Linked DNA regions of Arabidopsis thaliana. The protein of the gene in region 2 interacts with the protein of the main gene of each other region in a pairwise test. Each region holds a gene or a part of one and is shown on either strand. Other genes may lie near its edges.

Region 1 (4,134 bases), on a different chromosome or scaffold from region 2:
ACCGGTTTGTTGGGGAGTTTCAGATTTATGTGACGGCGATGAAAGTTGTGGGGAAGACCGGAAAAGAGAGAGATGCTGTGGTTGAAGCGACGAGAGATTTGTTGATGTTTTTGGAGAAAGAGCTTGTTGGGAAAGATTTTCTCGGTGGGAAAAGTTTAGGGTTTGTGGATATTGTGGCGACTTTGGTGGCGTTTTGGCTGATGAGAACGGAGGAGATCGTCGGGGTAAAGGTGGTTCCGGTGGAGAAGTTCCCGGAGATACATAGATGGGTTAAGAATTTGTTGGGTAATGATGTTATCAAGAAATGTATTCCTCCTGAAGATGAGCATCTTAAGTACATTAGAGCTCGTATGGAGAAACTCAATATCAAATCTGCTTGATAAGGTTTTATAAAAATTCTAATGCTCACAGTATGTCTCTTTTGTTCTTGTCTCAGTTGCTATGTTCTGTCACTTAATGTTTGCTATATTGAAACACGAAAATTTGAACTTTCTTTCTTGTTCTACCTAAAGATGTTCTTAAGCAAATAATACAGAAGAAACTCTCTTTTGTGCTACTCTGATTCAACCTGAACAGTTGCATGATAAATCCCATAAGACTTCCTACAGAAATTTCTAACACCAGTAATGATCTCTTTAGGACTAGCTCCAGGCTCTGGTAAGATATGACAGGACAATACGATTCTCCCTACTGTTATCTCCCATACATGGAGATCATAAACAATCTTAACTCCATCGATTCGCTTAAGTCCTCTTTCGAGCTTCTCTATGTCCATATCACGCGGTACGCGTTCCATCAGTATTCCAAATATGTTCTTGAGAATTGGTAGAGTAGCAGCAAGAGCAAAAGCAGAGAAAACAAGAGTGCAAATCAAATCAACCAAAACCCATTTTGGTTTTACCCAAATGATACCTCCACCAATCATAACACCTAGTGACTGAATCATATCAGCCATTGCGTGAAGATAAGCTCCTTGTATGTTAATGTTCATCTCCTTTGAAGACGATTTCTCACCTTTTAAAGGATTCATTTCCTCCTCCTCCTCTTCTGCCACCACCTCCTTGTGATGATGTTGATGTTGATGTTTATGATTATGATGATGGTGATGATGGTCGTGGTGGTGGTGGCTATGGTTATGTCCTAACCAAAGGACCATAACCAAGTTCATGAAAAACCCGAAAGCCGAAATCCCAAACATGATTTCTCCATTAACCTCTCTGCTTCTGCTAAGTAGTCTTTGAATGGCTTCATGGATTATCACTCCAGAGACAAGCCATATGAGCTGAACAGACAAGAACGCCGCTAAAACTTCAAGCCGTTTAAACCCGAACGAGTTTCGCGGATTAGCTTCCCAGCTCGAGACCTTGATCGCCAACAAAGAGACACACAAACCCGCCACATCCGACAACAAATGCGCAGCATCTGTCATAACCGCAAGACTATTCGCCTTAAAACCTCCCACAATCTGTACGGACATAACGATGAGGTAAAGAAAAATAAGGCTGCTTAGTCTTCTAGTCGATTCTTCGCGTTCTTTCGTCTCGGAAACGCAATGTTCTTGTCTCGTAAACGCGCAAGACAGAGGAACCACGCCTAAATTTTCCTCTGTTTTCGATGGTGATGGTGACTCCATTTCTTCCTCATCATCGGGTTTCAAAATGCAGATTTGCTCCAATTCCATAAGCTGTTTATACGTTACACAAACTTTCATTAGAGATCTAAATCAACATTTGATCCTCTTTCTTTAAGTATTTTTATGATTAAAAGATTCAAATAAACCCATTTTGTGTTTCTTTTAAGACAAGAAACAAACCTGAGAATCAGATGGAGAGGCAAAACGTATATGAATTCCAGAGCTGTCCTCTTCAGAAATCTTGAGTTTTATCTTATGGTTAGAGATATGAAGACATGAACACAGGCAATTAAGGATGATCCAGCAAATATGGGAGGAGATGTTTTATAGATGTGGAATTTTCTTTTTTGTATGGGAATCTAAAATAAGTCGTTGTGGCTTGTGACGGGTGAAGAAGAATAATCTTTTTTCTTTAATAAGGAGAATCAAGGAAAAAAGAAATAAATATAAAGATTTTGTTTTGGTGATTTTGTGTTTCTTTTGGTGTGTATGAGATTTGTATGATTGTATTACCATACAAAGGTGGCGTTTGCGTTTCAGGTGAACAAAATGGACTGACTATTCTTTGTTCAAAATAAGGATTGATTCAACTAATGTTCTTTGATCTTTAGCATGTTGTTTTTTTCGTCTTTTTGTTTTCTTTCATTATAGAAATCAATTATAAACATACATCAATATTATTTTAAATTAGGTTAGGACCGTTAGGTGATGTAATTTGTCCATGTTGATATAGTTTATTTTTTTCTTTTGATAAAAATGTTGTTGATATATTAACTTGTTTTATCAAACTACATAGTTATTAGTTAGCACTTAGCATGTAATTAAGAATGTGAATTGGTGATTTTTAACAAAAGAATGGTATTTGCATACACGCATATGCATGTTAATTTGACACATCAACCAGATGGTGATTATATTAGATTAGGTATTACCGATCAAACACTAAATCTTGGTTGTTTTGTAGTTTCATGGTAACAAATAGATTGTTGTTTTGTAGTTTTTGATGGCAACACTAAGTTTTCAGTAACTAATTTGCTAATTCAAACTTTTTGGCGTTTTAATTTATTAGTCGCTAATTAAGAATTTAAGAATTAAGATTGATCTAATCTACCACTTAATTACGGAAAACGAATATCATACTAACATAGTAACATTTGATTGTTATAATTGGTCACTGATCATTACCGATGACTGCTAAACAAACAACAAAACATATTGTTGATCACTATCCCCCATCATTACTACTGAATAGTGAATACTATATTACTATCGCCAATCGTTATTACTGATCGCGTAGAGAGGCTAGAAGAACTAGTTTTCTACCGTTTGGAAATTTGTATAAAGGAATCTTCTAGAAAGATAGCCCATTTACAGGCCCAATAAAACGTGTACATACCCATTAGGTTGATTTCACTCAGGTCTCGTAAATAAATTAAATAAATAAAAAATGAACCAATCAATATTGACTAATCTCAGAGCACACACCAGTCTTCGGGTCTCTCCTCCTCGCGGCTCGAAACGCAAGCTTCACGCTTGAAAATCTCCGTTCGTTTTCTACCTCGTTTAGATCGGAGATGGCGGAGAAGCCGGCGCAAGAGCAAGAGCAGAAGCGAGCGATGGAACCTGCAGTTCTCGACGATATTATTCGTCGTTTGGTTGAGTTTCGGAACACGAGACCTGGATCGGGGAAGCAAGTTCATCTCAGTGAAGGTGAAATTCGTCAGCTTTGTGCTGTCTCCAAAGAAATATTTCTTCAACAGCCCAATCTGCTTGAATTGGAAGCTCCCATCAAGATCTGCGGTCAGATTTTTGTTCCCTTTAGTTTAGAAAGAGTGCTTTTTTGGATTGGGGTTTTAGTTTTGATTGATTTTTAGAAGCGAATTTAGTGCATGTTTAGATAAAGTATCAAGCTTTGTTCAGTAGTAATGAGTTGAATTCTTAAAGCTATGTACATATCTAAGTGACTGAAGAAAAAATGTGAGATTTTGATTGTCTTTTGAGTTCAGAACAATGAAATCAAGCTAATGGGTAGTATAAAGTTTGAATTTTTATTACTAAAAGTCTTAGATAGGCTTAGGAGTTTTGACTGGTTCTATGAGGTTTGATTCATTTTATCTTAATGTTGACTAGTCAAGTTATGTGTTTTGATTGGGTCTGATAAAACATTTCCTGCAAAAGTTTAACGTTGACTAGTAGTATCTGATATGCCATGTTTTCTTAGATGTAATGGTTATATTTTGTCTTTTACTTTATAGGTGATATTCATGGGCAGTATTCAGATCTATTGAGGCTTTTTGAGTATGGAGGGTTCCCTCCCGAAGCTAATTATTTGTTCTTGGGTGATTATGTTGACCGTGGCAAGCAAAGCTTGGAAACAATATGTCTTCTTCTAGCTTACAAAATCAAGTACCCTGAGAACTTCTTCTTGTTGAGAGGGAATCATGAATCTGCTTCCATTAATCGTATTTACGGTTTCTATGATGAGTGCAAACGCAGGTTCA
Region 2 (7,184 bases):
CCATGGTCTACCTTCAGCTAAAGCTTGGATCCGGTCACGATACACAGAAGCAGCGTTCGAATTGTACTTGGAGATAATATCTGTCTCCTTAGCGATTCCGTATTGCGCGAAGAATTTGTTGAGCCGTTCGTTACCACCAGCTTCCATTTTCTTAATCTGGATCGCAGACCATGAATCCATGGTTACGGATCTGACGAAGGATATGTGAACGCCTAAGCCTCGGTGTTTCCCGGAGCATTCCAAACACATGAAGATTCCGTACGAAACCGACGCCCATTGAGGATTCTTCTGAGCGCAATCGACACATACCTTGTTTTCAGGCTGAGATTGGAGAGTTCGTAATTGTCTCGTCGCCGCCATGTTTCCCGGAGCTCCGAACGATGATCAATCCAACCTGAATCAGATCTAATCCAAATCTCGCAGACTTGTGCTGCTCAGATTGATGCGTTTTTTTTTCTTTTCCGTTTTTTCTCTTCTTCCTAATAAATGTTCGGGGTTTTTTTTGGTACGTGTCTCTGGCACGTGAGAGGTTTCCGGTAGTTTCTCAAATGGCCCAAATGATAATTGTATTTACTATTTAGTCCAAATATGAAATTATATGTAGACGATGCCCAAGATGCCCAATCATGGTTATTTATATGTAGACGATCTTACAATTCTTACTCAAGAGCTATCTATATATTGTAGATAAACTACATCTTCAACTAACCACTTTAACCATGCATTAAGCCGAAGTTTAAGTACTAGATCAATTTATTTATTGTTATCATACATTTGTGTCTCCGTTAATACTTAGAGAAGACTCACTAACAATTTTGGAAACCGTAATATCCTCTACATGAGCTTTGTTGTGTTGTTGAACCACAAGGATTGATGGAATGATGTGGTTGATCGAAGAGGCGAGCACGTCTCCGATAGGACCTAACTCAGGATGTTCAGCTTGACGCTCAGCTAATGCCGCCACCTCGGCCGACGGTATCCTCCCTCTTCCAACCACTATTAGATCAAAGTCTTTACTCTGTCCTATTGACAGTATTTCTTCAATGATGTTGTTTGGTTCCTTTTCTTTGTACTCCACCATTTCTTTCCATTTGCTCTTGAAGTCTTCCAATGCCCCTTCGTCTAATTCCTATAATTATTTTTCCAAGAAAGAAAGCTATAGTTATATTTGTCATAACTGGTATATAAACATAGGGGATCAAAAGAGATTTACCTTTTCTTTTTCTGGATCCACGTTGGTTGTTAAAAAGGCATAGTTCTTCTCCTTGCCTTTAGACGGTGCCGGTCGTAAAGTGACGGCGGTACTCCTCAACGTTTCTCTTACCAAAAACCTAATAACGGTAACTTTAACGGCCGGATGCTCAGCCATTCTCCCGCCGAGCTCTATAGACTCACGGTCATCAGGCCCACCAAAGAAAATCACACAAACCCTTTCAACCACATTCGACCCATCTAAGCTCAAAGTTTGGGCCTCAATGGACCCAAGTCCACGGTCTACAAGAACCGCCACCGAACACGGCGCATTCTTCAAAACCCTTTGGTTAACCAATCGCCAACCATGACCAACGTTTTCCGGTACGTTTCCATCTCCTCCTCCGTCTTGGTGGTGGTGGCTATGACCATGATCAGCGTTCCATCGTTTGTGGAAAGGTAAAATGATCATTGTGACCCTCTTGGTATCTGCCATGTGGCAAATGTCTTCGTGCATTGTGGGTAATGGAGAGACTGCGGTGATGGGCCGGACTGCGACCCGGCCTAGTTGACGATAGGCTTCGAAGCCTCCTATGACGTTGCTGTGACGCTCACCATGACGGTAACGGTGAACGAAAGGAAGTCCGTTTTTACGGGCTCTTTGCACCATTATGATTGACGAAGACCGTTCCGTTAGTTCCATCAGATGCATCACAAACAGCTTTAGCCGTAGTATCTGCCAAAACAAATACGACTTTTTAAATTATTAACCAAGATTATAAATTATTACCCAGCTGATTTTTAATTTTAACTATACAAAATGTGTGTAATTATACGTAGGATACATTTTCATTGAGCATTTCAATGATATCTTAATTTTCTGATATAACTCTTATCATAGATTTACAAATTTAAATATAGATTATTGTAACGTAAAAATATAAAAGAAAGGTAATTTACCTTGGTGGTTCGGATGGACTCGACGAGAGAGATGAGGGAGGAGACATTGGCTGGGCCGTGGAGGCAGGCTAGGATGCGAAGCTCTTCCTTGGTGGAGTCTTGGCTCGCCGACAAGTCTTTTAGTTTGCGGTGGGTGCCACGTGCCGGCTTGTAAATGGCCATTACAGTAGGCGTCGTTATGAACGTTGTGAAGAGTGCCATTAGCACTAGTATTGCAAACGTCTCGTCGTTTAGTACCTGGTTAAAGTCAACCCCGCGTACAAACAGTTTAATTAAAAATAACCACACTTACTACATTAATGGGTAATCATTATTTCACTTTATTGTTGCATTATGAAGAAGATCATAAATCTGCAAGTGGATCAGTAAGTGACGATTACGTAAACATTGGCCCATTCGAAAAGGTATATTCGTATAAAGTTTTCATGCAGAAAAAAAAATAAAAATAAAGTTTTCATGCATGCATATATATGACTAGTCCTTAATTGATCAGTTTTTCTTTATTACCCCAAAACAATAAGAAACGCCTTTATAATAAAAGTGTAGTATATAACTATAATCTTTGTTGGGAAGACACGTTTAAACAAAAAATTTTATATACTACATATTTCCAGAAGCATTATAGTATAATCTTGCACATATATTTAAGATAAAAATGTTTATTTCGGAGGTGACAAAAGAATCACGGACTAATGTTTTGAAGCTACCATTGCTAACTGCATCATCTTCGATGCACATAGTAAACTTAGCTATCAAATTGCAACCGTGTCCATCAGTCTATGATTAATGAACTGCAGATTTGTATTATGGTGACTAATATTACTATACAACGGTTGAGAGCAAACCTAGCTATCAAATTGCAACCGTGTCTATTATAGTGATAGTAAACCTAGCAGCCCGGCTCAATATTTTATTGGGCCCTGTGCTACAAACAAAAATAGCCCTTAAATCTAAACAAAATAACTTTATGTGACATGTGTTTACTGTATTTTTATTTTAAACTTATTATCTTTTATTTTGGTGGTTGTTTTTTTTGTAGTTTTCCCCTTAAAAAAAAAAAAACTGCAAACTAGAAGACTTAAAATTAAGAAAAAAAAATGAGGACCCTGTGTACTAGCACCTCTGGCACTCCCCTAGAGCCGGGCCTGCCTAGCTATCAATTTGAATTTATACAACGGTTGGTTAATGTTCAAATAAAACATAAGCAATTTTACTATTCCGGATCCCCGACCAGCCTACCAATATTGAGCGGACCGGACGCATATACACATGGATCCAACTAGAACCTAAATTTTTAAATATATCTAAACACCCTAAAATAAAGGTATAGATGCGATTAAATCAATATAATAATCGTATTTTGTTTTATATGCTTTATCCACTAAACATGATCAAATAACTTTAGTGTTACTAGGTTTTTTATATTTATAATATTCATCAGATAACTAAAAGCGTAAACAAGAACCTTAAAAAATCAGAAAAAAGGAAGACAAAACTAACCTTTTTCTCCTTGCCTATGTTGAGTACAATGAGCTCCACTAAACCTTTAGTATTCATCAAGAAACCAAGTGTCAACGCCTCTCTCGCCGGAACTTTAACCATCACCGCCACAACAAAAGTTCCGACTATCTTCCCGGCACAAGCCGTAACAACAACAAGACCCAACATCCCCCACGACTCAGCTCCTCTAATCTTAGCCACGTCAGTCTTCAAACCACTCGTAGCGAAATAAAGCGGTAAGAGTAAACCGGAAACAAAATCCTCAATTCGTTCAATCAATCGCTGACCAAACTCTCCATCTTTCGGTATAGTCAAACCGAAAACAAACGCTCCAAAAATCGAATGAATCCCAATTAAATCCGTCGCGAAACCGGAAACCATAACACCGGCTAACGTCAAACACACGTAAGACTCGCGTACGACGTCGTTTTCAGGAGATCCACGTTTCGCGACCCATTTCATTCCGGGTCGGATCACAACCAACATAAAAACCACAAACCCAGCGCCCGATAACAAAACCCACAACGACACTAACGGACTCTTTTTCTCTCCACCTCCCTCACCGCCATTACCCGCTAACGCAACCGCTAAAGCGAGTAAAATCCACGCGGCTACATCGTTAAAAGCGGCTGCAGCCATCGCGGTTTCTCCTATCTGAGTCGTTAAAAGCTTGAGCTCTGCTAAAATACGCGCAAGTACCGGAAAAGCTGTGATCGAGAGTGCGACTCCCATGAAAACGAGAAACTCGGCGTAACCTGGTTTATCCGCGGCGGTGTAGAGAGTGTTACGGATCACAAACGCGACTCCGACGCCGGCGATAAACGGTAGTGTAATTCCAGCGACTGCGATTCCGAAAGCGCGTTTGCCGCTTCGTCGGATCGATGATAAATCGAGTTCTAGACCGACGAGGAAGAGGAAGAAGAGAAGTCCTATGCTCGCGACGGATTCGAGTATCGGCATACTCCATTTCGGAAATATACGGTCCATGTACGCCATGTTTCTACCTAAAGCCGATGGTCCTAACAAAATCCCTCCCTGAAGAAGAAGACGATGGCAGAATTGTAAATTAAGAAGATTATTATGGTAAAATTGTAAATAGTTAGTGTGTGTGGGGTTAGAGTGTAATTTTTAACGTACGACAATCTCGGCGATGACTTTGGGTTGACGGAGAGGTTTGAATAAGACGGCGAGGAAGCGACTGACGGCGATGATTAACGCCGTTTGGACGATGAGTAACGGAAAAGCGAAGTTTAAAGGATTGTCGCCTTGCCATACTCCGTTAGATGAGGTTTTCACGGAGGTTATGTTGAAGGGCATTTTGGGGATTTCAAAGGACTCTCTTATCGACGACTTTTTTTTTTTGTTTTGTTCTCGTCTATATTTGGAACATGTGATATAGTTCAAGTATGAAGAAGATATGTGAAGAAATTTATAGGCAAAAATTATAAATGTATTGGTTTGAAGATTCAAAAAAGTAATTATGTTGTTACTTGTAATTTTGGTGCATCTCACGTGTGACTAGACCTTGAGTGGAAGTATTTGGTTTTTTTTTTTTTTCTTATGATATTTGTTTTTTTAGTAGAAAATTTAAAAACCATTAGATTTTGGGTGCTATAATTAGAAACCATCTATGTCTTTGAATTGTTCATGTTTACAATAAAGTATAGAAAGTAAAAATCTACTCAAAAACAATTTGTGGTTGCTATAACTCATTCTTATCAGTTTTATTTCAAGCAAAACTAATAACATAAATTTAGTATTGAGAAGAAAAAAAGAAACAACTCGTCTCACAGACGGAAATTGCAAACTAAAATAAGAGTGGCTTATCACCGAAGCAGGAATCATGTGAGTCAAACGTGGGACGCGAGAGATGGGCGTTGACAAATGCTGCGTCGGCGTGGATGGGTTTTACAAGTGCAACCAAATTGACACGTATCTATGACTTCTCATATATTCCAAAGTATTTCGATATAAGTTGGCAATATTTTCATTAAATAGAGCTGTTGATTTTTCCAAGAAGTGGTATCTCAATTCTGCTTGGTATTTACGACTTTCCTAACTTTTTATCTAGTTTAGATTGTTCGTCAAGTTTGAAATAAAACTGTTGATAATAGCTATGACTATCATATACAGTATGAAAAAATTAAGAGTTAGATTGTGGCAAAGAGACATCTGAAATTGTAGAAATAAAGGATCTAAAGCAGTGGACTGCCTCGAAGATGCTATAAATTTTGTAATCACACTTTATTTCGACCATTTCATGGTTAAGTAATTATGTATGTTTGTGGTTTAAGATTAATATAATGATCACACGGTTTTCTATTAGATGTTTTGGAGCGTTAGTTACTTTTGTGCATATTATCTTAAGGATCTCTCAAATCCGATTGACGCGATAAAAAGGTCACCAAAAGTTATAGACTCGAAATCCATATTTTCTGACCTACCTAATGGTCGAAATATTAGTCCAAGACACATATCCAATGGAAAAAAACTTATTTAAATTTTTTAAGAGAAACTACGTCAATCATATTACTTTTTAAAAGTTTAGATAGTGGGAGAATTCACAAGAATACTGATTACAAAAAAAAAAAAAAAAAAAAAAAAAAAACTGAAAATCACGAGGCGATCGTTATTTCATTTCCCTTTCTATGAAATAGATTTGGACTTTTCATGAAGGCAAGCCAAAAGTGCCAAACAAGTGGTCCTCCAAATTTTGAGGAACAGTTAGTTCAAAACATAGCAAGTTTGGTCTCACCCATCTTTTTTTACATTACAGCTCAAAGATAGAACATTAAAAAAAAAAAGAAAAAAAAAGATTTATAGAGAAGATTCATGAATCTAGCTAGACTATTGTACCTTAAATTGCAGCTCAAAGTCATATTTTGCATGTTGATCAGATATGTCATAAGAGTTATGTCAAATACACTTGTTGTATCTCTTTGTAGAAAATAAGATTGCTAATCCTAATAATTTTGTTGACAAAAAAAAGAAAGAAAAGAATACATCCTCAATTTATAAAGACACTATAGCTTTGACATTGACGACTCACACGCCCAAATAAGGTCGGCAGAGTGAAATTGTCTGTGAAATCATGGTGTTTTAAGTTGTACTGGAACTTGTGTATGAAACAGTCTATAGCAATAATAATGAAAAAGAAACAACACATTTTGCTCCATAGCTTTTGTATTTGTGTAAATCGGAAAGAAAAGTGGTTTATTATTCATGGTCGAAAAAATCAGAAAAATGGGTCGATTAGAGAAAAAAGTAATTTTCAGTGGCTACAGTATAAGTACAGCGAACTGTTCTAGGTAGAGAGTCCCATTATACAACAACAACTCATTATAAAATTTGACTTCAGTAACGACTGATTGAGAATATGTTAATGTACACTAAACTATTGACATTGATGTAATTGTATATTTTTGTACAATTACGTTAGTAATATGGCGATTGCACCTGATTGGTGAAGAATCTATATTCTCTTCCAGTTACCCTACACTAGAATTTTTCAATGAAGTTATCACTTGACATAA

The links.
Region 1: the proteins of CHX20 (region 2) and MTPB1 interact in a protein complementation assay, tested with the Arabidopsis thaliana proteins (one large-scale study listed by BioGRID).

The regions. Positions count from the first base shown.
Region 1 is NC_003071.7:12,614,357-12,618,490, reverse strand, and holds MTPB1 (metal tolerance protein B1), read right to left. Parts: upstream 2,114-4,134; 5' UTR 1,814-2,113; intron 1,685-1,813; 5' UTR 1,682-1,684; coding exon 554-1,681; 3' UTR 504-553; downstream 1-503. Other genes in the region: GSTU7 (glutathione S-transferase tau 7), read left to right, coding at 24-380; TOPP1 (type one protein phosphatase 1), read left to right, coding at 3,208-3,433, 3,889-4,134. UniProt on the Arabidopsis thaliana protein: Involved in sequestration of excess zinc in the cytoplasm into vacuoles to maintain zinc homeostasis.
Region 2 is NC_003074.8:19,905,060-19,912,243, forward strand, and holds CHX20 (cation/H+ exchanger 20), read right to left. Parts: upstream 5,168-7,184; 5' UTR 4,969-5,167; coding exon 4,789-4,968; exon of another isoform or gene 4,687-4,788; coding exon 3,652-4,686; intron 2,389-3,651; coding exon 2,152-2,388; intron 1,928-2,151; coding exon 1,214-1,927; intron 1,130-1,213; coding exon 767-1,129; 3' UTR 532-766; downstream 1-531. Other genes in the region: AGD6 (ARF-GAP domain 6), read right to left, coding at 1-360. UniProt on the Arabidopsis thaliana protein: Operates as a K(+)/H(+) antiporter that maintains K(+) homeostasis in guard cells and could regulate pH. Plays a critical role in osmoregulation through the control of stomates opening.